Linked DNA regions of Oryctolagus cuniculus. The protein of the gene in region 4 interacts with the protein of the main gene of each other region in a biochemical or structural test. Links are inferred from orthologs where the notes say so. Each region holds a gene or a part of one and is shown on either strand. Other genes may lie near its edges. The genes, in order: UBE2K, UBE3A, BRAP, UBC, EPN1, UBXN7 and KHNYN.

What was found.
Region 1: of the proteins of UBC (region 4) and UBE2K, one has a biochemical effect on the other in vitro, tested with the Homo sapiens proteins (18 studies listed by BioGRID, with this or other methods). The link is inferred for Oryctolagus cuniculus from reciprocal best matches to the Homo sapiens genes UBC and UBE2K.
Region 2: of the proteins of UBC (region 4) and UBE3A, one has a biochemical effect on the other in vitro, tested with the Homo sapiens proteins (5 studies listed by BioGRID, with this or other methods). The link is inferred for Oryctolagus cuniculus from reciprocal best matches to the Homo sapiens genes UBC and UBE3A.
Region 3: the proteins of UBC (region 4) and BRAP form a complex in vitro, tested with the Homo sapiens proteins (3 studies listed by BioGRID, with this or other methods). The link is inferred for Oryctolagus cuniculus from reciprocal best matches to the Homo sapiens genes UBC and BRAP.
Region 5: the proteins of UBC (region 4) and EPN1 form a complex in vitro, tested with the Homo sapiens proteins (6 studies listed by BioGRID). The link is inferred for Oryctolagus cuniculus from reciprocal best matches to the Homo sapiens genes UBC and EPN1.
Region 6: the proteins of UBC (region 4) and UBXN7 form a complex in vitro, tested with the Homo sapiens proteins (4 studies listed by BioGRID). The link is inferred for Oryctolagus cuniculus from reciprocal best matches to the Homo sapiens genes UBC and UBXN7.
Region 7: the proteins of UBC (region 4) and KHNYN form a complex in vitro, tested with the Homo sapiens proteins (3 studies listed by BioGRID, with this or other methods). The link is inferred for Oryctolagus cuniculus from reciprocal best matches to the Homo sapiens genes UBC and KHNYN.

What each region holds. Positions count from the first base shown.
Region 1 is NC_091433.1:33,602,561-33,605,608, reverse strand, and holds part of UBE2K (ubiquitin-conjugating enzyme E2 K), read right to left. Parts: intron 799-3,048; coding exon 699-798; intron 1-698. UniProt on the Homo sapiens protein: Accepts ubiquitin from the E1 complex and catalyzes its covalent attachment to other proteins. In vitro, in the presence or in the absence of BRCA1-BARD1 E3 ubiquitin-protein ligase complex, catalyzes the synthesis of 'Lys-48'-linked polyubiquitin chains.
Region 2 is NC_091443.1:14,372,259-14,376,558, forward strand, and holds the start of UBE3A (ubiquitin-protein ligase E3A), read right to left. Parts: upstream 2,801-4,300; 5' UTR 2,696-2,800; coding exon 2,676-2,695; exon of another isoform or gene 855-2,675; intron 184-854; exon of another isoform or gene 45-183; intron 1-44. UniProt on the Homo sapiens protein: E3 ubiquitin-protein ligase which accepts ubiquitin from an E2 ubiquitin-conjugating enzyme in the form of a thioester and transfers it to its substrates.
Region 3 is NC_091452.1:9,035,212-9,038,711, forward strand, and holds part of BRAP (BRCA1-associated protein), read right to left. Parts: intron 1,024-3,500; coding exon 660-1,023; 3' UTR 1-659. UniProt on the Homo sapiens protein: Negatively regulates MAP kinase activation by limiting the formation of Raf/MEK complexes probably by inactivation of the KSR1 scaffold protein.
Region 4 is NC_091452.1:5,127,075-5,131,016, reverse strand, and holds the start of UBC (polyubiquitin-C), read right to left. Parts: upstream 2,801-3,942; 5' UTR 2,436-2,800; intron 1,982-2,435; exon of another isoform or gene 1,813-1,981; intron 1,667-1,812; 5' UTR 1,664-1,666; coding exon 1-1,663.
Region 5 is NC_091449.1:3,324,471-3,328,437, forward strand, and holds the start of EPN1 (epsin-1), read right to left. Parts: upstream 2,801-3,967; 5' UTR 2,503-2,800; intron 2,183-2,502; exon of another isoform or gene 2,089-2,182; intron 1,722-2,088; 5' UTR 1,573-1,721; intron 1,384-1,572; exon of another isoform or gene 1,371-1,383; intron 1,149-1,370; exon of another isoform or gene 1,033-1,148; intron 482-1,032; 5' UTR 381-481; coding exon 153-380; intron 1-152. Other genes in the region: U2AF2 (splicing factor U2AF 65 kDa subunit), read right to left, coding at 3,484-3,618. UniProt on the Homo sapiens protein: Binds to membranes enriched in phosphatidylinositol 4,5-bisphosphate (PtdIns(4,5)P2). Modifies membrane curvature and facilitates the formation of clathrin-coated invaginations. Regulates receptor-mediated endocytosis.
Region 6 is NC_091435.1:82,954,044-82,958,241, reverse strand, and holds the start of UBXN7 (UBX domain-containing protein 7), read left to right. Parts: upstream 1-1,398; 5' UTR 1,399-1,481; coding exon 1,482-1,554; intron 1,555-4,198. UniProt on the Homo sapiens protein: Ubiquitin-binding adapter that links a subset of NEDD8-associated cullin ring ligases (CRLs) to the segregase VCP/p97, to regulate turnover of their ubiquitination substrates.
Region 7 is NC_091443.1:50,772,363-50,776,327, reverse strand, and holds the start of KHNYN (protein KHNYN), read left to right. Parts: upstream 1-1,165; 5' UTR 1,166-1,300; intron 1,301-1,776; 5' UTR 1,777-1,793; coding exon 1,794-1,994; intron 1,995-2,446; coding exon 2,447-3,546; intron 3,547-3,659; coding exon 3,660-3,790; intron 3,791-3,873; coding exon 3,874-3,965. Other genes in the region: CBLN3 (cerebellin-3), read right to left, coding at 46-345.

The DNA.
Region 1 (3,048 bases), on a different chromosome or scaffold from region 4:
TCAGGCATTTCATAAACAGAACTTCAGGAACAGTGACTGTTCCCACCATACCTGCGCTCCCACCCACACTCCCACCCCCTTCTCCCTCTCCTATTCCCCTTATTTTAAAGGGCCAGATACTAATCATTTAGTGCTTTCAGACGACAGTCTCTGTTCACCGCTGCCCCTGGAGTGGGAAAGCAGAGTAAGCAAAATGGTGTGGCATTATTTCAATCAAGTATTGGCAAAACTTAATTCGCTGATCCCTTGCCTTAGAATGATCAAAGAGCAGAACTGAAAAATATTTCTTCCATTTGTCAAATTACAAGGCCACGGCCATGCCACTTTGAAGCCCTGGTAGGAAGTGACTGAAATGATCACCAGGGAGAGATCTGCACTGAACAGAAGGAAGGACAGGTGCACAGAGGCACAGAGGGTCATGTATGAAAAATGGGAATCAGGTATGGATGCTCATCATATAATTCTTTTGACTTTAACATTTTTATATATTAAGAAAACAGTCTCCACCACATAAACCTGTAAACTAGTATGTTAATCAATAAATGTTCATCTTTACATCTGACAAATCTTACTACAAGAAAGGACACCTTTTCCAAATTCAGTTCCAATAGAATATGTTCATGTGTTAACACCGCAAACCACAGAAGTACAGACTCATCTATGTGTATAAGAAAATCTTTCAGAAGCAGCCATCGTACCTGATTTGCTACTACTGCATCTTGTGGGTCATCTGGTTCTGCAGCTGCCAATAGTGCTTGCAATGACAACAATACTGTGCGGAGAGTCATTGCTGCTGCCCTAAAATAAGAAAATATACCAGTTAGGAAGCCTGTGTTTTGTGAGGCAAAATGGATATGATCTGAATAAAACATAAACCACCAGCAACTTTTTATCTTAATTACAAAGTTAGGGAAATTTACTTTTTTTTTTTTTTTTTTTTTTTGACAGAGTGGACAGTGAGAGAGACAGACAGAGAGAAAGGTCTTCCTTTGCCATTGGTTCACCCTCCAATGGCCACCGTGGCTGGCGCACCACGCTGATCCGATGGCAGGAGCCAGGTACTTATCCTGGTCTCCCATGGGGTGCAGGGCCCAAGCACTTGGGCCATCCTCCACTGCACTCCCTGGCCACAGCAGAGAGCTGGCCTGGAAGAGGGGCAACCGGGACAGAATCCAGTGCCCCGACCGGGACTAGAACCCAGTGTGCCAGAGCCGCAAGGCGGAGGATTAGCCTAGTGAGCCGTGGCGCCGGCCCTAAAAGAATCTTTAAATGTAAAGTTTTTGAGCTGAACCCAAATCAATTATAAGCAATGACACTGTCTTAAGAATGAATTAAGAAAAGTAATACCAAAATAAAACCTATTCTTATGACACCAATCTTTTATGTTATTAAAAAAAAAAGGCATAGAAAGCTTTGGACTGCTCTACATATATTTTATTATCTTTTTTAAAGATTTATTTATTTGAAAGGCAGAGTTACAAAGAGGCAGAGGCAGAGAGAAAGAGAAGTCTTCCATCTGCTGGTTCACTACCCAGATGGCTTCAACAGCTGGAACTGTGCCAATCTAAAACCAGAAGCCAGGAGTTTCTTCTGGGTCTCCCACGCAGGTGCAGGGGCCCAAGGACTTGGGCCATCTTCCACTGCTTTCTCAGGCCATAGCAGAGACCTGGATCAGAAGTGAAGCAGCCAGTACCCGAACCGGCGCCAATATGGGATGCCGGCACTGCAGGTGACAGCTTTACCTGCTACGCCACAGTGCCAGCCCCTCTACATTAATTTTAAAATATAAGTAATGTGGAAAAGTATGCAACTGAAAACCTTTTTATTCCATTAATTCTTTTCACAAAGTACTGATTAAATCCATGGTATACTGAGATTTTTAGTATTCAGTGATAATAGTTTAAATCTATTAAAATAAATCCTAATAGCAAAGAAGAAAATGAAATTTGGGGCTGGCTTTGGATTGGCACAGCTCCAGCTGCTGTGGCCATCTGGGGAGTGAACCAGCAGATGTTAAGACCATTCTCTCTCTGTGCCTCTGTCTCTCTGTAGCTCTGCCCTTCAAATAAAGGTGTTAACTTTTATTAATTAGTAGATGATACAAGTCAGTAAAAGATAAATCTAAAGTATTAATACTGCTCAAATTGATAAGCATAGCCAATATGGGTACTTATTTATTCACAAAGTACTCAATAAAGTCTTACAATAACCATCTAACTGTTCATATTGTTGACCGACTTTTCTGTTAAGGATCTTCCAGAAGATCAAAAATTAACCCACGTTCATTCCAAACAATTCTACATGAAGAGAATGGTGTTTGTTTTGTTACAATTGGTTAAGTATAAGAAGAGTAAAATGCTGTACAGCCAGATGGATTTTTATGCATGTCTATGTCCATGTAACCATATGGATCAAAATGTAGAGTACTTCTAACATTGAAAAGCCTCATTCCTCTCCCTCTCCAACTCCTGCCTACACACACCAATGCCCTAATTCCCACCACCATAAATTAGTTGTGGCTTATCTTGAATTTCAAAAAAAGCTAACCATACAGTATATCTTCTTGTGTGTCTGGCTTTTGTCACTCAACATATCTGTGAAAATAATCCATACTGTTTCTGTCAATAGTGTGCTTGACTTTACTGCTCTTTAGTGTTCCATTGTATGATTATACTCAATATACTGATTCTCTTGTTGATAAGTCATTTCAGTTATTTCCAGGTGTATTCTGCTGCGTGTATTCTTATGTAAGTGTTTTTGCATTTCTCTTCGACATATATCTAAGAGTAAAACTGCTGAGCTACCAAAGTTTTATGTTTCACTTTGGTAGATACTACTGGTTTTAAGTGGCTGAGCCACATTCCTACCAGCAATGTATGAGGGATGCAGATGTACAGGTACACAGTGGTATCCAATTGTCACTTTAATTTGCATTTGCATTTTCCTGTTGACTAATGAGGTAGAGAACAGCTTACTGACCACATCTAGATGTTCCCACAGCAAAGTATCTGTTCATACCTTTAGGAAGGGCAGGATTACTAAGTGCAA
Region 2 (4,300 bases), on a different chromosome or scaffold from region 4:
TTCCATGACTATTACAGTATAAAAAAAAAAAAAAAGCCTGTTACCTTATTCATTTTTATAAACAGCATTAGTCAACCACTGCTGTAAAGTAATCCAACAGCGGCTGGTGTTGTGTTGTAGTGGATAAAGCCACCACCTGCAAAGCTGGCAGCTCATATGGGTTCCAGTTTGTGTCCCAGCTGCTCTACTTCCAATCAAGCTCCCAGTTAACGGCCTGGAAAAAGCAGCAGATGATGGTCCAAGTGTCTGAGACTCTACCAGCCATGTGGGAGACCTCAATGAGGCTCCTGGCTTCAGCTAGGCCCAGCCTTGGCCATTGCAGCCACTGTGGGAGCAAATCAGCAGACAGAAGATCTCTCTTTCTCTCAAACTGTTACTCTTACAAATAAAAAATACACAAATTTATTTAAAAAAAAAATGTACAGCAACATAATACCAATTTCTAATGTTTCAAATTCGTAATAAAGGTTAAAAAAATTTTCTTTGAAGTCAAAACCTGTATATCAAATTGGTACTATAAGGACTTGATTTGTGAATTTATCAGACTTCAGATATCCAACTTAAAAAAAAAAAACTTAAAAGAATTTTAAAATCAGAGTCATTAGAAGAAAATGTTCCCCAAATTTATGGGCTTCAAAAAAAAATTTTTATTAGGGTTTCAAAGTTACACTCACTGTAGTCTATTCATATTCGAAGGACGCAATACTCCAGCAGCTCAAATATTTATTTTAGATCTTTCCAGTATATTTAAATTTTATAGAAAATTGTTTAAGAACTAAAAACCGGAGCATGCTGGAGGTGGTAGTGACTTTGAAGTTACACAATGTAAAAATTTCACTCTACCCTCTCCCCAGGGATCAAGCAAATCACCTCTGTGACACACCTGGTCTCTACCAGCCTTGTGGGGTAAGTACCCCAAGATTGCTTCCAAACTAGTATCTTTTAGACAGAAGAGCTAAAAACTGATGATATGCCCATGTACCAGCTGATTCATTTTTGCCAAGTGTGACCCCCTAGCATCAGATATCATACTATAAAGAGACAGAGCTGGCTTGCAAAACAAAAACTAAATTCGTGCTGGCACTGAGGGAAGACGGGCAGATTAGAAGCTTTCAAACATGTAGGTATCAAACTCTAAAAATTATCAGGGCAAGGTGAGGGGAAAAATGGGACTTAATGATAGGAAAATTAAAATAGTACTGCAAAAAAAGGAAAGACACAGCCAAAAAGGAAAACAAGCTCAAACCTTAAAGTAAAACATATAATGGCTGCAAAGTCTTGAGATTCTGAAACAGGACAGAGATAAAGTTCAACATCAATTTTTCCCAATTTCTTTCCCCTAAACAGTATGTGATCACTTGTATCAAAATGTCACTATTGTTATACTAGATAATTACTTAATATCTATGTATGTTAAAGTGAGTTACTAAAAACCGTCTATGAGTCAAACCAAATAATTTAAACCAATCCAGTCTAGAAAAAGAACAAAACAATAAGAAAAAATTGAAAAATTTTCCTTAAAATAAATCTATTCTGGGTCTCATATATAGCATATTACTTTCTATTCAAATAGGAAATGTTTTTTAAATCGAGAGAAAAATGAATATACAGAGAATAAACACTCTTCTTGCAGTATTAATGATCCATTTCTCAATAAATTTCTAGTCATCTTGCTTAAACATTTCAATAATATTTTAAAGTTACCAAAAATTATCCTAAAGTTAGGATACAAACTCTTCAAACTATGAAACACACAAAGGCACTTCAAAAACTTTGTGGAAAAATGGAATTACAATTTTGATACAGAAAAACTTTTAAATTTTTACATGTTTTTTTCAGGACATGAATTTTTTTAAGGCCCCCTTATACAACAGTTCCCACACTCTACTCTGGCTCCTTCAGAGCTTATTTATTCTTTACTGCTAAGATGTTGGGAGTTACAATCCACTATGTGCTCATAATTTTACTAAATTAAAAAAAAAAAAGCCATTGTTATCTTAAACCAGCAGAGTAACAAAGCAGAAAGAAAATTTTAAAAACGAAGCCATAACTAAGTAGTATTAAAAAAATAGAAAATACAGCTTAGAAAAGTCTCAATTTTAAGTCTTGATTTGAATAGCAAAAAGTATGATCACAAAACACCCACTAATCTGAATACTGCAGCATTAGCTAGCAAATTCAAACGGTGGCTCACTTCCAATAATACTGGGTGCAGCTTCTCCATCCTGCAAGCCACTCCTTTTACCTCCACTGTAACTCTCTAGGAGAGAAAAGTATACTAGTTTTATTAAAGTTATAAAAATTTCTAGAAACGTATCTTAATTAAAACACCCACCACGTAAAAGACACACTTTAAAATGTTTATTAAGAAATATTACAAATCTCCTTTACAATGTATATAATAAAATGTTTATATGTTACAACTTGAAATTTTTTGAGAAATGCTTTCCTGTTTATCCACACAGATAAGTCTTCAGTGGTGGCTACTGATATTCTGAATGAGGGGAAAAAAATAAATATTTCAGAATGAGACTAAATGAAGAAATAAATCAACTCTTAGGTCCACTATTCTTGGCAGTGTTTCTGCCAACTACACATTTTCTCCATTTTTACAGCATGTATTTCACTTTACAATGGCAGCCTTTTAAAGGCTCTAACATAACATTCAAAATTACCTTTTACAAGCTGTGGCCATTCGGTGACATCAGGGTGATCACAGCTTTGAGTCACTGATTAAAAACAGGTTGGCACACCAGTCTAGCTGCTAACTTGATCTGAGCGTAGGCTTAATAACTCTAATAAATTAAACAAATCTTTAGTTAGAACACTTTAATATATAAATCCAATTCATTGTTCAAATAATAATTTGAAACTTTAAATTAGGTGTCAATGCAAAATTCATCAGAAGAATAATTACTACAAAGAACTATTCTTCAGCATTTTGTTTTCTTAAATGATATTTTCATTGAGAAAACATGGTATAGGTTGAACATCCCTAACCTGAAAATCCAAAATGCTCCTAAATAATCTGAGGGCTTATTGGGAGCATTTTGGATTTTCAAATTATAGAATTTTTCAACCAATAAAGTCTATACAAGTATTCAAAATCCGAACAACTCAGAAATAAAGCATTTCTGGTCTCAATTATTTCAGACAAAGGAAACTCAATCTGTGATAATACCTTCTACTTCTGTGTAATGTTATGAGTTTACAAAGCACTCTGCTTGGTAATTACCTTGAATCTCAAGACAACTTGACTAACTAATAAAGCTATTTCATACATAAGAACTTTAAAAAATCAAGCAGCCTCAGAGTGATTAACTGACTTGCCCAAGATTTTAGAATTAGTGCTGAAACTAGTAATAAAATGCAAATTTACTGAATAAAGAAGTTTGGATTTTGGAGGCTGAATTTTTATTTTGGTTTAGTTTCGCTACTTAATGTAAGAGCAAAAAAATTAGGACATGGATTGAGACCTCAAAATTATGGCAACAGGTTCAATATGACACATTTTAGTGATAGGGTTCTTAAACAGATGAAGAAAACAAATCACCAAAAATGAAAATGTTTAAAGAAATAGTTATATACATACACACGCACATATACAAACCAAAGTGTTACTTATTCCATATTTACGTAGATTCACCACACATTAGCCAAAACTCCTTGGTTACTGCATGAAAATACGTCCTAGTCTTTCCAGTCAAACTCATTAGATTCAATTTCATGAAAGATTATGATAAAACTATGAAATTATATCCTCCTTTCAACCAAGTTATCTTTTACCCCCTTTTAAGGTGGCCTCAGCTAAATTTTCCTAATTGTCATGGTCCAAATTTTGCAGATCTCCTTAATTATACTACAGGTTTTGGCAAGCACAGCATACATGTGATATAGCCTTGTATCAAGAGATCCTTTCAAACTATTAGTTTTTCCTCTTGTAATTCCCCTACTGAACTGCATTATTCAGGCACTATCTGAGGAGCAACTAAGGGAAGATGAGAAAATTAGAAGGGAATGATCTTTCATAATTAATGCGTTCAAACTAACAACAGACAAGCACAGAAGGCAGTTACCAGCATGGACCCAGAGCCAAATAAAAAACATCAAGGTATCTGAGAACCCATAGAGAAGTGCTGACACATCAATGCTTGAGCCTGTACTTCCATAGCTATGAACACAGGGCTTTAAATCCAGATGAAGGTGAGGAGTTGTCTGAGTATATGTAAATAATCTCAGGAAATGCCCATAAATAAGACTTACAATCACTATAAAAAGATGAGAATACTTCAAAAAGTTC
Region 3 (3,500 bases), about 3.9 Mb from region 4:
CTGACACTGGGTCTACTCAGTCGGCCCCTGGTGATTTGTGCTTTCTGGCTAGCCTGAGAGCAAGAAGAGATGGCTGCTGGCCACAGGCCAGTGCCGGCTTTACAACCCCAGTCTCTTTTCATCCAACATTCAAACAATTCTTTAACTCCCCAGAGGGAGGGAGGGAGGGATGACAATGACAGGAGACTAGGCCAGGGAATTTTCCTAACTTCTCCGTAGCCAATGGGAACCACCTTCAAAGCAGCTGTGGCCACCTCAGGGAGGTGTGGTGCTTTAGTGCTAGTTAACAATACCTTTGAGGTTACAAAAAAAAAAAAAAAAAAAAAAAAAAAAACAACCTTTAATGTCTTAAACCTACCCCAGAACTGTATGTCAAGAATACCAACTCAATAAATACAAGAGAAAAATGAACAGCAGAGTTGGGACATCTACCAAGCAGGAAGGCAAAGTGGTCATCAGAACGTCTGAGGTTAGTGAACTATTCAACTTTCCATCAGCTCTCCCGTCGGCACCCTCTACATTCCACACACCGCACACCAGCAAATGAAAAAGCCGAACGACTGTGGCGAGATCCTCACTTGCACTTATTAGGGCCCACCCACACAGGGAGCTGAGGGTCCCGGCACACCCCCGTCTCAGGAGGTCTGTCTCTCGGAAGGTCACTTGCCTCTCTTGCTACGGCCCTTCCTGGAGGGCAGCTTCCCAGGGCCCCCTGACGAGGAGGGGCTGGAGGCAGCAGCCACGGGGATGTTGATCTGTCCCTCCTGGATTTCCTGGCGTGCCTCAGCAGGCAGGTGGTTGATCTTCTGCTGCGCCTCCAGGTAGAACATGACATCACGCAGCTGCTCCTGGATCTCTGTTATCTGCAAGTCTTTTTGGTCACAGGTCTCCTTCAACACCCTCTCCTCCTCCTTCAGCTTGTTCTGCAGGAGGACCTGGTTGGCTCGCAAACATTTGTTCATTTCCTGCTCCTCTTTAAGTTCAGTTGTGAGTCTGGCCACTTTTGTGTTTAGCTGAGTGCACCTTTTGCAAAACAAAGGAAGACAAAGCACATTTTCATTTGCTGACACAGTCCTCTTTCTGCTCTGGGATTGCACAGAGGAGCCACAGCCTCAGAATCCACTGAGAACAGACCCCTCCCTCCTGCGCTGTTTGCCGACCTTGCAGTCAGCTGCACAAAGCAAGAATTTTGCTCCAGTTAACCCAAGTGTTCAAGATACTTTTTGTTTTAAGCATCAGAAGTTTTCCAATAGCAGAAACTACTCTGTGACTCATGGCAAAACTTCTGCTCCTCTGAGGTCAGTGGTTAAACAGGTGCCTTAGAGACAACTGTGATAAGGAAGTTATGAGGATAAGTGACATTCTTGAAGAGTCAAGTGCTCTGACCTCACTGCATTTGCTGGGGAAGGGAAAAAACGTGCTTATTCTAACCAAAGGGTTTTCAGGATTTGGGAGTGTCCCATTCTTGCTGCCCAATCTTACTCATAAGGGAGGAATTACAAATTAAAACACCATCTGAGATACCATTTTTATGTATCAGAATGCCAGGGAGCTTAGACATGGGAAAAGAGGCACTCCTACACACTGGCACTGCAGCATCAGCTGGAGAAAGACTTTGGAAGTCAACTTGGCAATGGCTGCAGGAGGAGAAAATTCACAGGTCCTTTGACACAGGTGAAGTAGACAGGCATACAGGTTAAAATTGATCAGACTAGTGAACTGGAAAACCACGCCCCTGTGTGACCTCATGCTCCTACCTGATGCCTTTGCCACGCCCCTATGTGGCCTCATTCCCCTACCTGGCCACACCGGGGTGCCCACCAGCCAATCAGGTTAATTAACCACTCCCCTTTGGAAGTGGGTTAAAAGCCTGGGGCACCGTGTGCCCGGCCCTGCTCTTCTTCCCTGACCTCTTGCCAGGACAGGGCTTGCTGTAGCCCTGCGCCTCCAGGGTGCGTGGCCTTTGGGCCATGTGCTCTAGGCTTCCCGGCCTAGATGCTCATCCACGTGGCTGGTTCCTGTGCTTGGTATGAACCCCTATTCACCTCTCTCCCCTAAATAAAGCTCTCACTCTCTTATGCACCTTTCTTACTAAATAAAAGCTTAAAACATACCATGCTGCCTCGTTTATCTGTGCCGGTATTTAGAATTCTTCTCTAAATACTAGGCAAGAACCCTCTCGGGCTTATTAATATCGGGGATTTGGTAATAAGTCTAATAATCGTAATAATCGTAAGGCACCCCAAATTCCAGTAGCGCATGTGGCACCCCGGATAGCATTTCTAGTGAACTTTAAGGGGCCACATTTCAGCGTAAATTTCAGGGGGTGTTGTCTGATTTCACAGGTATTCTATATAATAAAAATATTCAGGACTATGCAAAAAGACACCTGGAGAAGATGCTTAGCACAGCACTGACTGTAACAGTGTAAGACTTGAGCTCACTTAAGTGTCTATCATCAGGGAGCTGATTAACACTGGATGGGCACGGGCAGAGTGGTTAAGATGCTGCTTGGGACATCCACGCCCCATATCAAAAGTGTGCCTGGGTGTGTCCTGGCTCAAGTTCCATTCCAGCTTTCTGTTTCTAATCTGTACCCTCGGGGCAGCAGATGATGGATCAAGTACTTGGATTCCTGCCCCAATGGAAGACCTGGACTGAGTTCCAGGCTCCTGGCTTTTGCAGGTCCAGCCCCAGTTAGTGTAGGCATTTGGGAAGTAAGCAGCAGATGGAAACTCTGTCTCTGTCTCGCTGCCCTTTAAATAAGTAAATTAAAGTGAAAATTACTATGGTGTATTCATATATTGGAGTACCAAGCAACTGATACAAAGAACATGAATCTGAATGTGTAGTATGAAAAAAAAAGGGGCCAGCACTGAGGCGAAGCAGGTAAAGCCACCGCCTGCAGTGCCGGCATCCTGGGTGGGCACCGGTTTGAGTCCCGGCTGCTCCACTTCCAATCCAGCTCTCTGCTATGGCCTGGGAAAGCAGTAGAAGATGGCCCAAGTCCTTGGGCCCCTGAACCCACATGGAGACCTGCAAGAAGCTCCTGGCTTCAGACTGCCACAGCTAGGGCCGCTGCAGCTAGCTGAGTGAACCAGCGAATGGAAGACCTCTCTCTCTGCCTCTCCTTCTCTGTGTAACTCTTTCAAATAAATAAATAAACAAAAAGATTTTGTGAGACATGTGGGCAGAGCTAGAGGTCTAGAAGACTATTCACTGGCACCATCGATACTGGCTGCCTCCAGGGCTGGCGCTGTGGCACAGTGGGTAAAGCCGCCGCCTTGACCCACCATCCCGTAGCAGAGCACTGGTCTGAGTTCCAGCTGCTCTGCTGCTGACCTAGCTCCCTGATGATGAGCCTGGGAAAGCAGTGGAAGATGGCTCAGCTGGCTGGCCCCTGCCACTTGTGTGGGAGACCCAGGGAAGTTGGATCAGAAACAGAGGAGCTAAGACTCAAACCAGGCACTCCGATATGGGATGCAGGCACCCTAACTGCT
Region 4 (3,942 bases):
TGGTGTCACTGGGCTCCACCTCGAGGGTGATGGTCTTGCCGGTCAGGGTCTTCACGAAGATCTGCATGCCACCTCTGAGGCGCAGCACCAGGTGCAGGGTGGACTCCTTCTGGATGTTGTAGTCGGACAGGGTGCGGCCATCTTCCAGCTGCTTGCCGGCAAAGATCAGCCTCTGCTGGTCGGGGGGGATGCCCTCCTTGTCCTGGATCTTCGCCTTGACGTTCTCGATGGTGTCACTGGGCTCCACCTCGAGGGTGATGGTCTTGCCGGTCAGGGTCTTCACGAAGATCTGCATGCCACCTCTGAGGCGCAGCACCAGGTGCAGGGTGGACTCCTTCTGGATGTTGTAGTCGGACAGGGTGCGGCCGTCTTCCAGCTGCTTGCCGGCAAAGATCAGCCTCTGCTGGTCGGGGGGGATGCCCTCCTTGTCCTGGATCTTCGCCTTGACGTTCTCGATGGTGTCACTGGGCTCCACCTCGAGGGTGATGGTCTTGCCGGTCAGGGTCTTCACGAAGATCTGCATGCCACCTCTGAGGCGCAGCACCAGGTGCAGGGTGGACTCCTTCTGGATGTTGTAGTCGGACAGGGTGCGGCCATCTTCCAGCTGCTTGCCGGCAAAGATCAGCCTCTGCTGGTCGGGGGGGATGCCCTCCTTGTCCTGGATCTTCGCCTTGACGTTCTCGATGGTGTCACTGGGCTCCACCTCGAGGGTGATGGTCTTGCCGGTCAGGGTCTTCACGAAGATCTGCATGCCACCTCTGAGGCGCAGCACCAGGTGCAGGGTGGACTCCTTCTGGATGTTGTAGTCGGACAGGGTGCGGCCGTCTTCCAGCTGCTTGCCGGCAAAGATCAGCCTCTGCTGGTCGGGGGGGATGCCCTCCTTGTCCTGGATCTTCGCCTTGACGTTCTCGATGGTGTCACTGGGCTCCACCTCGAGGGTGATGGTCTTGCCGGTCAGGGTCTTCACGAAGATCTGCATGCCACCTCTGAGGCGCAGCACCAGGTGCAGGGTGGACTCCTTCTGGATGTTGTAGTCGGACAGGGTGCGGCCGTCTTCCAGCTGCTTGCCGGCAAAGATCAGCCTCTGCTGGTCGGGGGGGATGCCCTCCTTGTCCTGGATCTTCGCCTTGACGTTCTCGATGGTGTCACTGGGCTCCACCTCGAGGGTGATGGTCTTGCCGGTCAGGGTCTTCACGAAGATCTGCATGCCACCTCTGAGGCGCAGCACCAGGTGCAGGGTGGACTCCTTCTGGATGTTGTAGTCGGACAGGGTGCGGCCGTCTTCCAGCTGCTTGCCGGCAAAGATCAGCCTCTGCTGGTCGGGGGGGATGCCCTCCTTGTCCTGGATCTTCGCCTTGACGTTCTCGATGGTGTCACTGGGCTCCACCTCGAGGGTGATGGTCTTGCCGGTCAGGGTCTTCACGAAGATCTGCATGCCACCTCTGAGGCGCAGCACCAGGTGCAGGGTGGACTCCTTCTGGATGTTGTAGTCGGACAGGGTGCGGCCGTCTTCCAGCTGCTTGCCGGCAAAGATCAGCCTCTGCTGGTCAGGGGGGATGCCCTCCTTGTCCTGGATCTTTGCCTTGACATTCTCGATGGTGTCACTGGGCTCCACCTCGAGGGTGATGGTCTTGCCAGTTAAGGTTTTCACGAAGATCTGCATTGTCTGTTATGAGAAAACACACAAAAAGAAACAAAAAAAAATTCAGCAAACAATTCACTAATATTCCTAAAGACTGAATATCGTCTATTTATCTACACTATTAAAATTAATAACTTGCTTAGGAACTCCAAAGGACACCAAACACAAACCTGAAAAATTACTTCAAAACCCCAGCCTCAGACCCTTCGTTATGAAGAAAGCAGGGAAACGTGACCAGTGAACTCAGGGCTTTTCCGTCCCTCCCCCCTTCCGGCTCGCGTTCCCGTCCACTCAGCAGGATCTCGCCTAGGCCCTAACCGTGTGTCTTGCAACTGACAGAAACCGACGCCACCCACACCGGGAGGCAGCCCCGCCCTGCTCTGTGTGCCAACACGCGGGTGACGTCACGGCGCGAGCCGCCCCCCACCCGCTGGAGCAGCCCCGCGCCGAGGCGCCTCCCTACTCCCCAGCCCCTAACCGGGGCCCAGCGCTGCCCGTCAGCCCCGCCACACCGCTCCCCCACGTCTCCAAACGCGGCCCGGCGACGCCGCCTTCCGCTCCTCAGACCCTCGCGGCGCTCGGCGCTCTCCGGCCCCTGTCCGCCCTGCACCCTGACCTCCCGGCTCGGCGGCGCCGCCATCTTGTCGGTTCTTCCGCCTGCGGGGCGACCCCAGCCGACTACCCGCCCGGGAGGGCGTCCCGCCCGCGGCGGGCAGCCGCACCGCCCTCCTCCCTCACGGCCGAGAGGCCGCGGGCCGCCCCCACCCCGGCCAGCACGACGAGGTCCACTCACCAGGCGGCGGCGGCGGCGGCGGCGGCGGCGGCAGCTGTACGCAGGATGAAGGCGACCGAACTCCGGCTCCGACGGAACTGGCTGCGCCGCGCCCGGCGCCCGCTTATATAGTCCGACGGCGAGCCGCCGCCCCGGCGAGATCCCTCCGCAGAAACGCCGAGAAGGAACTACTTTCCTCAGCCTCTTCCGCCCTCCGGGAAGGAACCCTGCGCCCGGGGCCGTCGGCCCCCTCACAAAACGTTCTCGGGTCGAGCCCGGGGCGGTACCGCCGGGCCCGGGAGGGGAGGGGCCGCCGCCCTGAGGGGCCCGGCGGAGGGATCAGGGCGTTTGCTGCGTGCTGCGGCCGACGTGCGGGCGCCCGCCCTGGGGGAGGGGAGCCGGCGCGCGGGCGGCGGGAAGACCCGGCGCGGAGCCGGGCGGCGCCCGGAGCGGGCGGGCGGCCGGGGGCTTCGGCTCCGCCCCGCGCCCCGTCCCCTCGGCCGCAGCGGCCCGTCGGTGGGCGGCCCGCGGGGGTTCCGGCCCGGCGCCCCCTCCCCGCGCGCGGCCCGCTCTGTCCCCGGCCCGCGACCTCGAGGGGCTTTCTGTGGGGTCGCGTCTGAGGTGACCGCGGTGGTCTCGTCGGGGCCGGGCCGTGACTGGGCACATCCGGGCCTCGCCTCCGCGGCCCACTGTGTCCACGGCCCGTGACCTCTAGGGGGCTTTCTGTGGGGTCGCGTCTGAGGTGACCGCCGTGGTCTCGTGGGGGCCGGGCCGTGACTGGGCACATCCGGGCCTCCCCGCGCGCGGCCCGCTCTGTCCCCCCGGCCCGTGACCTCGAGGGGGCTTTCTGTGGGGTCGCGTTTGAGGTGACCGCCGTGGTCTCGTGGGGGGCCGGGCCGGTGATTGGACACATCCTGCCCTCGCCTCCGCGGCCCCGGCCCCGGCCCCGGGCCGCCGGCGCGCAGACCCGCGGGGAGCCACGGCGGACCCCGACAGCGCTGGCTGGTTGCGGCTGGTCGCGGCCGCCCAGGCTCTCCCCGGAAGCCGCCGCCGGAGGCGCCTGGTGCGGCCCGGGCTTTAACCTGGGCCTTTTTACGGACGCGAACCGAAGCTGCGCTCTGTGTTTCCGGGATCCGATGCATGAAACGCGCACCTCGCGTTGTGATCACAAGGGGGAGGGGCACGGTCAGCCACGGGGTCGTGTCCTGGTGTTTGGGAGAATCGTGGCGTCGACCAGCAGGTGAGCTGGAGGCTCTTAAACGTTAGCGGTGGATTTGCCCCCTCGTGCCCCGAGTCCCCCCCTCCCCACGCTGTGCTGTGCGACTCTTCTAGAATGTTCCATTGCCACGATGGGGCGGAGGCGGGACCACAGCCCCTCCTTAGAGGGGAAGACCGTTTTACAAGTGTCATGTCACCGAGAAGCCCCGGCAGAACAACCGCTGTGTGGTTGCTGTGGTAACCTGCGGCTGTGTGGATCTGGGAAGATCTACCTGAGCATTGTTAGAGGACTTTTCCACCCCTTAAACCC
Region 5 (3,967 bases), on a different chromosome or scaffold from region 4:
TGCCTCTCAAACAACAAACACTTTTAAGTAGATTTAAATCACAAAGCCCAAAACCTTTAGAAAGGTCCTGCCTGTTGCCTGCTAAGTGCAGAACACCCGGCCCCGCCCCGCCCCGCCCCGGCCCCGCCCCGCCCCGGCCGCGCCGCGCCCACCTTGTACACGTGCCGCCAGTTCTTGCCGTGGTCATTGAGCCGCTTCCAGATCATGCTCATGATCTCGGAGAAGGCCACGACGTTGTAGGTGAGGTCGGCGATCTCGGACATGAGCGAGCTGGACGGGCCCCAGGGGTCATTGCTCGTGGCCTCGCGGACCTTGATCTCCGCCTCCGAGTAGTTGTGCACGATGTTCTTCATCTGGCGCCGCAGCGACGAGGTGGACATGGTGCCCGGCGGCCGCGGCGAGGGGCGCGGGCCCCCCGGGCTGTGCAGGCGGGGCGGCGGGCGGGTGCCGGCAGCTCACCGCATCTGAGAGGGGAGAGGACCTTGGGAAACAAACCAGACATGGTCTGCCTGGAGCCTGAGCTCCCACGCCTCCCGTGGCTCCCCGCTGCCCTCAGGGTCTCAGCGACGAGACCCCGTCGGCCTCCGCTCTCAAAGTTCCCATCCTCCTTTCAGTTCCCCAAACGGGCCAGGCCCCTGCTCAGCGAAGCACAGCGGAGCGGCAGATGCCAGGCAGGGGCCCCAGCCGGCCGGGCCGGGCGCAGCCCGCGCGCCTCCAGACCCAGCGCCCCCGCAGGCGGAGAACACCTGCGCCTCCCTTCTCTCTGCCGTGAAACGGGGTGCATGCGGTAAACCAGGGAACACACAGGCCACCGGCGCTGCCACGAGGCCCTCTGGCCTGCCACGCACTCTCCACCCCGCCCCGCCCCACGGGCTCCGCCTCACTGCCCGGCGCTGCCCCAGGGTCACGGCAGTACCCGTGACTGCGCACGCTGTCCCCTTGCACGGCTAAAGCCAACCACAAGCCCCGGCGGGCCGTGCGCACCGTGACTGGAGGGAGCTCTTCCCATCAGAGGCTGGCCCGGAAACTCACTCAGTCAACAAAGTGGGAGCCAAACGCCTCCCCAGGCAGGGGTTAGGGGAGCTGTGGCAGCACGGGGCACAGACGAGGAGTGAGGAGTGAGGTCCCCGAGCAGAGGGCGTGGGAGCCTGAGGCCCAGGGAGCGGAGATAAGGGCACTCAGCCATTATTATCTCCCACAACACCCTGCTGCCCAGAGGTTAGATAACCACCTGCACCCCGGCCTCCCCCCGCCTGCGCCGGGCCACCCTGAGTGAGGTCCCACACTCACACGGCCCTGGCCCACCTGAACCCCGGCCTCCCTCCCCCGCCCCCTGCGCCGGGCCACCCTGAGTGAGGTCCCACACTCACACGGCCCCGGCCCACCTGCACCCCGGCCTCCTCCCACCCATCACCCTGAGTGAGGTCCCAGCACTCACGGCCCCGGCCCACCTGCACCCCGGCCTCCCCCCACCCATCACCCTGAGTGAGGTCCCAGCACTCACATGGCCCCGCCACACCTGACCCCCGGCCTCCCCCCACCCATCACCCTGAGTGAGGTCCCAGCACTCACACGGCCCCGGCCCGTTGGTGTTTTCCATGTATCCTCTGTCCTTCCACGCCCGGATTCACCGCCACCCTGGAGGGGACCAGAGAAGGGAACTCCCTCGCCCGGGGCACGCACACCTCTCCCGGCTGAACTCAGGGCAGAGAGCCTGGGGCCTGGAGACAGAAGGAACCAGCTATAAGGAAGTGGCCGGGGTCCCAGGACAAGCCCACCCAGGAAGGGACGTGAGAAGGAGAGAGGGAGGGAGGGACAGGCACAGACCAGGGGACGCACAGCCGGCAAGCTGGGAAGACAGAGAACCCAGTGGCCTTGACACAGGGAGAGGCCTGGGGCGGACACGTAAGACGACGGGAGAACCGGACCGTAACCGGGAGACCCCGAAGTCTGGGGTCTGATCTGGGCCAGCCCAGCCGCCGGCACCCGGCAAGCTGGCCGCAAACGCAGGCCGGGCGCACAAGGCGCAGAGGGCCGGCCACGGCCACCCCCGGGCCCGCAGGGCGCCGAGCCCAAGACCACACACACCGCTGCCAAGGCGGCGGCCTTCCAGAGTTCAAGGGACTCGGCGACTCCCGCGGCTGCCGCCCCGCACCGGCGCCCACCGCCGCGGCTCGCACGCGGAAGGGCGGGCGCAGACCCCGGCCCGAGCCGCTGGGGCCCGCGACCCGCACGGCGGCTTGGGGGCTGCAAGTGACAGGCACGGCGGCCGAAATGACAAGGGCAGCCCGTGCAGCGCGGGGCGCGCACAGGGGGCTCCAGGCACAGGAGCCCGCAAAGTCACCCACGAAACCCTGGCCATCGCGGACCACCGCCCGCAGCGACGCGGGCTCGGACACACACGCACGGCACGCCCCGGCACGCAGGCCCCACACCCAGAGGCCGAAAGGCGACGGAGAGGCCCGGCCCGGCCGGCGCCCCCGCGCTCCGCCCTGCGCTCACCTCGGGCCCTCCTCACGCCGGGCTGCGGGGGGTCATGGCGGTCAGCCCCTGGCCCCGGTCGGCCTCGGTGTCGCGGGGCGCGCGCCGGGCCGCGGGCGACGGCGCACGCGCGGACAGCCGCACGCCGACGGCCCCGCCGCCCCGCCGCCCGGGAGGGGCGCAGAGAGCCGGGCGGGGGAGGGGAGCTGCCCGGAGAACGGGAAGCAACCGTAGGCGGCGACGGGCCGGAAGCGGAAGTGTCGCGCGCAGCCCCTCCGCGCCGCGCCCGACGGCCCCCGCTCGTCGGCCCGGCCCTCCGGCGGCATCACTTCCGGCGCGCGCTGTCGTCACTGGCGTCCTGACGCCACTTCCGGCTGCAGCCACGAACCCACGCACCCACGCGCCCGCCCGCCGCCCGCCGCCCCGGAGCCGCGCCGAGTGCCGCGCGCCCGCCCGCCCCGAGGGGCCGCCCCCGCCCCCGCCCCGAGGCGCGGCTCCTGGGACCCTCCCCGCGCCCAGACCCGAAGGCCAGGAGGCCGCTGACACCGGACACAGAGCACCGCCGCCAAGTAAAATACAACAAAATGTTTAATGAGCAAATTCGTCTTAGCAAATATGAAACTGCCACAGAGGGGGCGGGGCGGCGGGGCGGGGCCAGGGGCGGAGTCAACTACGTAAGAAACCAGGGCCGGGGCGCAGGGCACGGAGGGCCGGACAACGAAATTCAAAATAGTTTGGCCATAAAATATAAACACGCTATGTTCCTACGTGGGAGGGGAGAGGGCTGGGGAGGAGAGGCTGTCGGGAGGAGCGCGGGGCCGTCCCCACCCCGCCCGTGCGTGGGTGCGCGGGTCCGCGGGCCGTGCGCCGCCCGCCCGCCCCGTCGCCGCCGTCCAGGTGCTGCCGCTGTCGCTCGGCCGTCACTCCTCTGCCCTTCTTCGGAGGGGAAAGGGGTGGAGGGGGAGCCGCCCCCGGCCCCGCCCCGCTCCGCCCCCACCGCCTCTACCAGAAGTCCCGGCGGTGGTAGGAGTCGGGGTCGCAGTACTTGGTGACCACCACTCTGTTGGCGAACTTGCGGCCAGTCAGCCCCTGCATGGCTTTCTGGCAGTCAAACACAGAGGTGAACTCCACGAAGATCTGCGGGAACAAGAGGCGGCCCGTGAGCGCGGCCACTCGGGACGGCCCAGCAGGCGGCACAGGGCCCTGCCTCGCCTGGACCCGACGGCCCGGGGTGCCTGGGCCGGTGACGGCCGGCACGCAGGGCGGGCAGACGGAACCCGGCCGGCCCCAGAGCACAGGAACACCCCACCGTGCGGGCCGCGGGTGGAGGACAGGACGGGCAGCCCGGGCCGGGCCACCTTTCAGTCCACCCCAGAGGCCCAGCCGCCCAGCACCGACATCCAGGCAGGCCCCCGCTTCCTGCAGCCTCTGCTGGGGGGCAGAGCTGGCTCCTCCAGCCCACCGGGCCATCTGCTCCCCACACCCG
Region 6 (4,198 bases), on a different chromosome or scaffold from region 4:
GGCCAGCTCTCTGCTGTGGCCAGGGAGTGCAGTGGAGGATGGCCCAAGTCCTTGGGCCCTGCACCCCATGGGAGACCAGGAGAAGCCGCGGCTGCCATTGGAGGGTGAACCAACGGCAAAGGAAGACCTTTCTCTCTGTCTCTCTCTCACTGTCCACTCTGCCTGTCAAATAAATAAATAAATAAATAAAAATAAAATAAAAGGCCACTGGGAGGGCTGGTGCTGTGGCCCAGCAGGTTTAAGGCAAGGTCTGCAGCAGAGGCACAGTCATTGTTACTGGGTCAGTTCTCCAGATGACTCATGCCATCTTTCACTGGACCATTTTCCTGTAAAGATGCACAATATGCAGATGGAGGTGGGAGGCTGGAACATAAACTCCATGTCTTTAACTTTATTTTCAATTTGGGGAGTGTCAACCGATTTCAGTGTACTCTACACACAAAATTGTCCTAAAAATATTTAAAACTATGCAAGTAACACTAATACCATCTGAAATCGTGTGACACTACTATGTTTTTGTTTAAAAATAAAGGATTTAAAAAAAAGTCCACATTCACAATTCTCCCTATCGCTCTCCTCTCTAGAAGCAACCATTAATTGAGGTTTGGGACACTTCTCCAGGGTCCTTTCTGTACATTTTCTTTTGGCGCAAAAACACTTCCTTTTTTTTTTTTTTAAAGCCATCTGGTCACACCCCCTTTATACAGTTTTTTCACTATTCAGAATTCAGGGACTACCCACAGGGGCACTGTGTTGCTGAGACGGTGTTACACACGACTTAACCACGCTGCTTCCCTCACGCCAAAGCCATGTCCTCATTTCACAGGTGAGGAAACTCAGCGAGACCCTGAGGGGAGACTTGCGTTGGCAAGTTCAGTGACGCAAAGCAAACGAACAATCCTCCATGAAACCTCCCGTGTGTCGGAGCCCGCTCCCACCGCCTCCCTGGCGCGCGGGTTTCTGGCGTTTCACTCCTGCTGCGCTAGGTTAGCTAGGCCGTTAGTTTATAGAGGTTAGGAAGCCGCTTCGGCGCTAAGATGTAGGATTTCTATTTTTGATGGGAACCGCAGGAAATTCAGTAGCGTGCAGTGGAGCTGCCAAAAGGATAAACGCCACCATCAGCAGTTGGATCTATCGACGAAACTTGTTTAATAGACATTCGAAAGACCTACTACGGAAGCCAGGACTCCAAACCGAGTCCATCAAGCTGGCCTGGCAGCTCAGAGAGGCAGGCGCTAGAGGTTTGCAATGAGGATGCGGCCAGCAGGCAGCAACAGAGCAGCCAACCCGCGGAGCGCACAGAGCGCTCCGGCGCGGTGGGCAGTGCGCCTGCGCGGGCCGCGGGGCGGGGGGCCCGGAGGGGCGGAGCCTGGGGGCGGTCAATGAGCCTGCGCAGGCCGCGCGGCGAGGTGGGGGAGGGCGGTCCGTGTGTGTCTGTGTTGTTGTTCGGCGGCGGCGGCGGCGGCGGCGGCGGCGGTAAGATGGCTGCCCACGGGGGCTCCGCGGCGTCCTCGGCGCTGAGGGGGTTAATTCAGCAGTTCACCGCCATCACCGGTAAGAGACGCGGTTACCGGAAGGTGGAGAGTGGGGTCCAGAGCGGGCAGCGGGTCTGCCCCGGGCTCGCCCCTTACCTTCATGCGTCCCTCCCTCGGGCTTCACCCACAGCTCTCGTCCTCCCTCCGGAGGAAGAGGCGACGACGGCGTCGGGGTCTCCGGGTTCAGGCGGGAGACACCCCCCCGCGCGCTCCCCTTACCCTCCTCCTCGATCTCCTCGCAGTTCGAAGGGATAGCCCCTTTTACCTCCTGCCTGCCTAGACAGGGGATGGGTCGGGCCCTCCGCCCTCGCCGGCCGGGGGACCTGGGGGCGGGGAGGAGTGGGGGGCCGCACCCGGGCCACCGCCCTCCTCCATCATCGTCTCCTCAGTGTGCAGTCCTGGGGTGCCGCGCATCCCCTCACCTGCCTTTCCCTTTCTTCCCGGCCAGGTCAGCCTCTCCCCGTGAACCCTCCCCTCCCCCGGCGCTGGCCTGCCCTTCCCCTTTCTGGGCCCCTTGGAGCCATCGGTGTGGCCCTGGCGTGTTCGGGCCCTCCCGCCTTCACGCGGAGGCTGAGGGGTACGGCGGCGCCTTTACACATCCCAGGGGACAGGCCGCCAGAAATGGGGGTGCCGAGGAGTACCTTAGAGACCGAGGCTTTAGGAGAATAGTGAGGGGGCACCCCCAAGCTGAAGACGAGAGGCCTGGAGGAGTCCTGGGTGGCGTTTCCCACCTCCCCATAATAAAATCGTAACGATTGAGACCATGGCGCCGGGGCCTCCTGCTGATAGAATAGGGAAGACGGCAGAAACTTCTCGGGGAGAAAATGTGCGGCTGGGGGTTAGTGTCCCCCAAAACCCTAGGCCTGGTTTTTCCCTTTGCTCTGGACCCCTGCGAAGGGCCCAGACAGGTCTTACCGCCTGGAGGAGAGGCCCTGAGCCATTCTATGAATTCTCTAGGTCTTGTTTCTCTCTGATGGTGCTGAACTTTTTTTGCATGAGTTATTAGAGGGCGGAGCAAATGATGAAGTTCTCCGTGGAGTGATTTGAGAGACGAGTACTCCATGTGCCTGAGTGTAATTTTGCCGTTCTGGTTTGTCATTTTGGAAGGAGGTCAGAATGTTAGTTCCTTTTCTTAACAGATCTGTACTTCGTGTGGTAGCGGTTTGTTAGACACAGAGAATGTTTCCACCGGGTCATACTTGGACATGCAGGATATGGTTAAGTAGATTTTTAGGTTGTTTTACCCAGTACAGGTTTTATTGAAGTTGCTGTTTCATAACGAAAGCAGTTTTATTTATTTATTTATTTGCTCTGCAATGATAACTGCATGTTTGATGTGTTGTTATCTGGTTTGTGGCATGAAACATGACGTCAAAGTAGGTAAAGGGAAATTTGTGATGAAAGAGTGATGAGGAGTGAGTGGTAGCTTTTCATAATATCTTTAAACGTGTGATTGGTTTATTAAAGTTGTAATGGATTTCCCAGTGTTTAACCAGATTTGTTACAGAGACAGAAAATCATTGTGTAAATAAGTTAGTATGCTACATTATATTTGTAGAATTAAAGTGCACATTTATGTATCTTTAGATTTTCTAGAGATGGTTTAAAATGCCATTTAATTGCAGTTTCATATATGACCCTTACTATTAACTTTTTTTTTTAAATCTTTATTTTATTTGAGAAGGAGAGAAAGGGAGAGGTATCTTCCTTCCAGCTGCTGGGTCACTCTCCAAATGCTCACAGTAGCTGGGGTTGGGCCATGCTGAAGCAGGAGCCAGGAACTCCATCCTGGTCTCCCATGAGGTAGCAGAGACCCAGGTACCCGAGACATCACCCGCTGCTTCTCAGGGCGCGGGTTAGCAGGAAACCGGGCTGCAGCTGAGCTGTGCCACACAGGATGTGCACATCACAAGCCGGGTCTTCACTGCTGTGCCAGATGCCCACTCCTCACTCTCTTCTCCTGCAACATTTTTATTAGATATACATAAAGCTCAAAGTATGGTGAGACAGATTGACTCCTTACTTGCTATAGGGCTGTTTTTCAGTTGGACAGCTTGTTTCCTGGTTGCAGGTCTCTGTATTGCTGAGTCTGATTAGAAGTCCCTCAGTAGACCAGTGGTGTCTGGAATTCTACAGAATGGCAAATAACCTTACACTGTTCTTGATGTGCAGTGAATTTCTATTGATAATTTTTGGGTCTGTTTTTACTAGATGGTGATTAGCCATTAGAAACACATGATCCCTTTAAGCCAGAGGTGAGGAACCATTTTTCTGCCAAGGGCGATTTGGATATTTATAACATCATTTGCGGGCCATACACAATTATCAGCTTGAAAATTAGCCTGCTATAGATTTATTGAATTCCGAGTCTCACTGGCCGTTGCCTTGGCAGGGCCAGACCAAATGATTTCCCTGGCCTTGTATGGTTTGTTGCCTGGACATTCCTCACCCCTGCTTTAAGCCTTTTTCCACATACCTTAGAATGAACTTTTCAGCATTCTAAAATGTGAATTCTCATGTATTTTTTATTTTATAAAATATATAAACATAAATATGTCTTTATATATTAATATATAAATATATCTATATATTGAATATAAATATAAATTTTATATATTTAAAATATAAATTTATGTTTATATTATATAAATAGATGATATGTT
Region 7 (3,965 bases), on a different chromosome or scaffold from region 4:
TTTGCTGGGTCTTTCCAGATCCTCAGGACAGGGTTAGGGGATTACCTGGTCAAAGTAGATGGCCCCAGTGGTGCCATTTCCAGTCTCCCCAGCTGGCTCGTGGTGGTGGCTCCGGACCGCAGCGAATGCCACTCGTCCAGGGGGTGCCTCTCCCAGGGCTGCACCTCCAGGCCCCCCTGCTGCAGCTCGGCCAGGCTCACAGACCACCAGGCATTCCCCCTCCAGCAGAACAGGCTCAGAACCCTCCTGGGCCCACACGGCCCCCAGGACCAGAAGCACTAGGGCCAAGCACAGCCTGGATCTGTGCAGGGCACCTGGGAGCTGGTGTCGCTTTCCTCTTGACATAGCTGAGTGGTTCTGCCACCCCTAAGCCCCCTGTCTCCTACCTCTTCCTGCTCCTTTCTGCTCCCACTCTGCCCTCTCTCCAGGTCTCACCACCACCTGGCCTTGGTACCTCCCTCCCATACTGCTCTATGTCCCACGCGCTGTCCTGCCTCCCACTCTGCTACTCCTGCTGTCACTGCAGTCCCCTCCTCCTTGGCAAAGCATAAAGTGACAGCAGTTGGGCCCTGGGAGGGAGAGGAGGGACGATGCCAGGGCGGGAGGCCTGCAGCCAACCCGGAGCTCCAAGGCAGCCCCTCTGGAGAGGTCAGCAGGAGGCTGGACCCGGGCGGTGGAGAGCAGGGTGGAAGCTCCTCCAGCCCCCACCCCCATCCTCCTCACCCCTCCTCTCTTCAACATCCCCCACGGCGGCATCTTTCCATTTATCTTTTCCAAAACCACGGCTGTTTTTGGTGGCAAAGCACTTGGGCCAAGAGCGTCACTATCTGGTGACCTTGGATCAGTCACTTTCCCTCTCTGGTTTAACACAGCCTCAAGGACCAGCTTTCCACCAGGGGTTCCTTCTTCCCGAGAAACAACTGCGCAGAGCGTGGCGGGAACCCCAGGAACCCCGATAGGCCGGGGAGCGAACCGGTCGGCGGGCGCGGGCGGATCCCCGAGGGCGTGGGGGGTGGGGCGGGGGGCGGGAGCGCTCAGTCCGGCCGCGGGCCAGGCCCGCTGCAGGCCCAGCCCCGGGAGGAGCCGCGCTGACTCCGCCCCAGGCCAGGAAGTGACTGAAAAAAACAATTTTGAGATGTGGCGGAGAGAGGTCCCCGTTGGGTGAGCAGCCCGGGAAGGCCCGCCCAGATTCCGGCCCCCTGCCCTTGTCCCCTGGGCTGGGGGCGCGGGCGCAGCCGGGGGCCCGGAGGGCACCGAGAGGCGCCAGCGGCACCCGAGGCCGAAGCAGGCGGCCGAGGAGGTAGGTGCCCGGGAGCACGGAGCCGGGGGCCGGGGCGGGGAGCGCGGCCGCAGAGGCTGTGGGCGGGTCGGGCCCAGCCCCTGGGCCCCCGGCGGGGCGCGTGGCGCGACGGAGGGGGCCGCGGAGGCTGGGGGAGGGGCGGTGGCGGGGCGCGGGGGGCGTGGCCGAAGCCTTGGAAGTGGCCAGCCCGGGGCCCGGAGGGCAGCGGGCTTCATTTTTAAGAAGCCACTTGGGCCCCGGAGGAGAACCAGCCCCCGGCCCGCCGGAGCGCCTCCCTCCCTGCTCGGGGTCGCTTAGGCAGCTGGGTCCGGGTGACGTCCCCTAGGAGAGGACGCTGCCGTTGCCTCCCTGTCCGGGAGATGGACTCCTGCTACCTCCTGGGGCTGTTTACCGAAGTCGTGACTAATGCGCGACCTGTTGATGGTTGGTGCGGGCGAGGGGACGGTGAGACTCTGAGCCGCCTTCTCCCCTTCCAGGGCCGGGCGCAGCAGCCATGCCCACCTGGGGGGCTGGTGCCCAGTCCCCTGACCGCTTTGCGGTGTCTGCGGCGGCAGAGGACCGGGTGCGGGAGCAGCAGCTCTGCGTGGAACGCATCTTCGGCGTGGGGATGAGCGTCCTCCCTAAGGACTGTCCCGAGAACCCTCACATCTGGCTGCAGCTTGAGGGCCCCAAGGAGAACGTGAGCCGAGCCAAGGTGACGCCTCCTCTCCGCGGGTCGCTCCAGGGCCCCGGGCTCCTTCCCCGGTGGAGGAGGGGCCTGGGGAGGTGCCTACAGCCTCGGTGCACCTGGGCTTTGCAGGACTCCCCGCCTCTGTTTGTAGTTTTGGTTTCGTTTCTGCCGGGGGCAGTCCAGGTTCTGTCATGACTTGGGAATGAGTCACTGTGTGCCCTCTGGGATGGTAGAGAGAACGCAGCTGACCTAGTGGGGCCCCCACCAGGGAATTCACTGCGGGGTGGAGGTGTGGCCTCATGGCTTCCTCTGGAGTCAGGCTGGAGTTTTAGCCTCAGTTTCTTGATCTGTAAGATGGGGATAATAGCAGTGTCCCTCTGGATAACTCCAGGCTTCACACCAGGAGCTCAGGGGAGAGTCTTGGCCTGAAGTCATTGAGGATTCTAGCAGCCTCTTCTGTCTGGCCTTTCCCACAGGAGTACCTGAAGGGGCTGTGTAGCCCGGAGTTGCAGGAGGAAATCCACTACCCACCTCAACTGCACTGCATCTTCCTGGGAGCCCGGGGCCTCTTCCTGGACTGCCTGGCCTGGAGCACCTGTGCCCACCTAGTGCCTCGGGCGCCTGGCTTGCTGGTGGTCGGTGGCCTGACTGAAGCCTTTGTCATGGCTCAGAGCCGGGTGGAGGAGCTAGTGGAGAGGCTGAGCTGCGACTTCCGGCCCGGGCTTTCGCCCGGAGCTGGAGTGACAAGCAACTTCTCCGCCCTGCTGCAGTCCTGGCCGGATGACCACAGGGCCGCCCTGCTGCAGCTGCCCCTGGCTGTCCAGGAGGAGCTGTTGAGTCTGGTGCAGGAGGTGTCCAGGGGGCGTGGGCTGCAGGTGCCCCCGTCCTGGGAGGGGAACCCCAGGGAGCTCAGAGCTCCCCCAGGGGAAGCCAGAGGCTCCCTAGACATGGGGTCTATGGGGCAAGGAGATTGCAGGATGGCAAGGGAAGAGGGTCATGCTATGCTGAAGGAGGTGGGCAGACTGGGTGGTCCCAGGGAGATGGAGTTGAGGTGGAAGGAGCTGCCTGGGGGAGAGGCCTGGGAGAGAGAAGTAGCTTTCAGGACACAGACAGCAGGTGGAAGGACCGGGGAGGAGGGACCCCTGAAAGGCAAGGCCCCGGGGAAGGAGGGAGTGCCCCAGGAGAGAGGAGGGCTCAGCGTCCAAGGTGAGCCTCCTGGTGCCCACGGCCCCTGTCAACGGGCGGCGCAACGGGGAGCCTCCCTCCTCCAGCGGCTCCACAACGGGAGCGCCTCGCCTCCAAGAGTGCCTAGCCCTCCACCCGCCCCTGAGCCCCGCTGGCACTGTGGGGACCGGGGCGACCGCGGCGACCGGGGCGACCGGGCAGACAAGCCGCAGGCTGGGGCTCGGGGCCGGGGCTCCCCGTGGAAGCGAGGTGCCCGAGGTGGCAACTTGGTGACCGGCACGCAGCGTTTCCAGGAGGCCTTGCAGGATCCCTTCAACCTGTGCCTGGCCAACGTGCCTGGCCAGCCAGGCCTCCGCCACATTGTCATCGATGGCAGCAACGTGGCCATGGTGTGAGTATGGGGGGAAGGGCGAGGGTCCTGGGGAGGGGATTGAGGCAGGCCTCTCTGCCCGCCTTGGGGACACAGGCTGAGGGTGTCCAGAGCACTGACCCTTCCCGCTGCAGGCATGGGCTCCAGCACCACTTCTCCAGCCGGGGCATTGCCATTGCCGTGCAGTACTTCTGGGACCGTGGTCACCGGGACATAACCGTCTTTGTGCCTCAGTGGCGCTTCAGTAGGGATTCCAAGGTCAGAGGTGAGTGCGGCCCCGGCCACCCGCGTCCTGGCGTGGGCTCTGTCCGCGCCTTGAGCTGCCTGTGTATTCCTCTCTTTCTGTAGAGAGTCACTTCCTGCAAAAGTTGTACTCCCTCAGCCTGCTCTCGCTCACCCCTTCGCGAGTCATGGATGGCAAGAGGATCTCCTCCTACGAT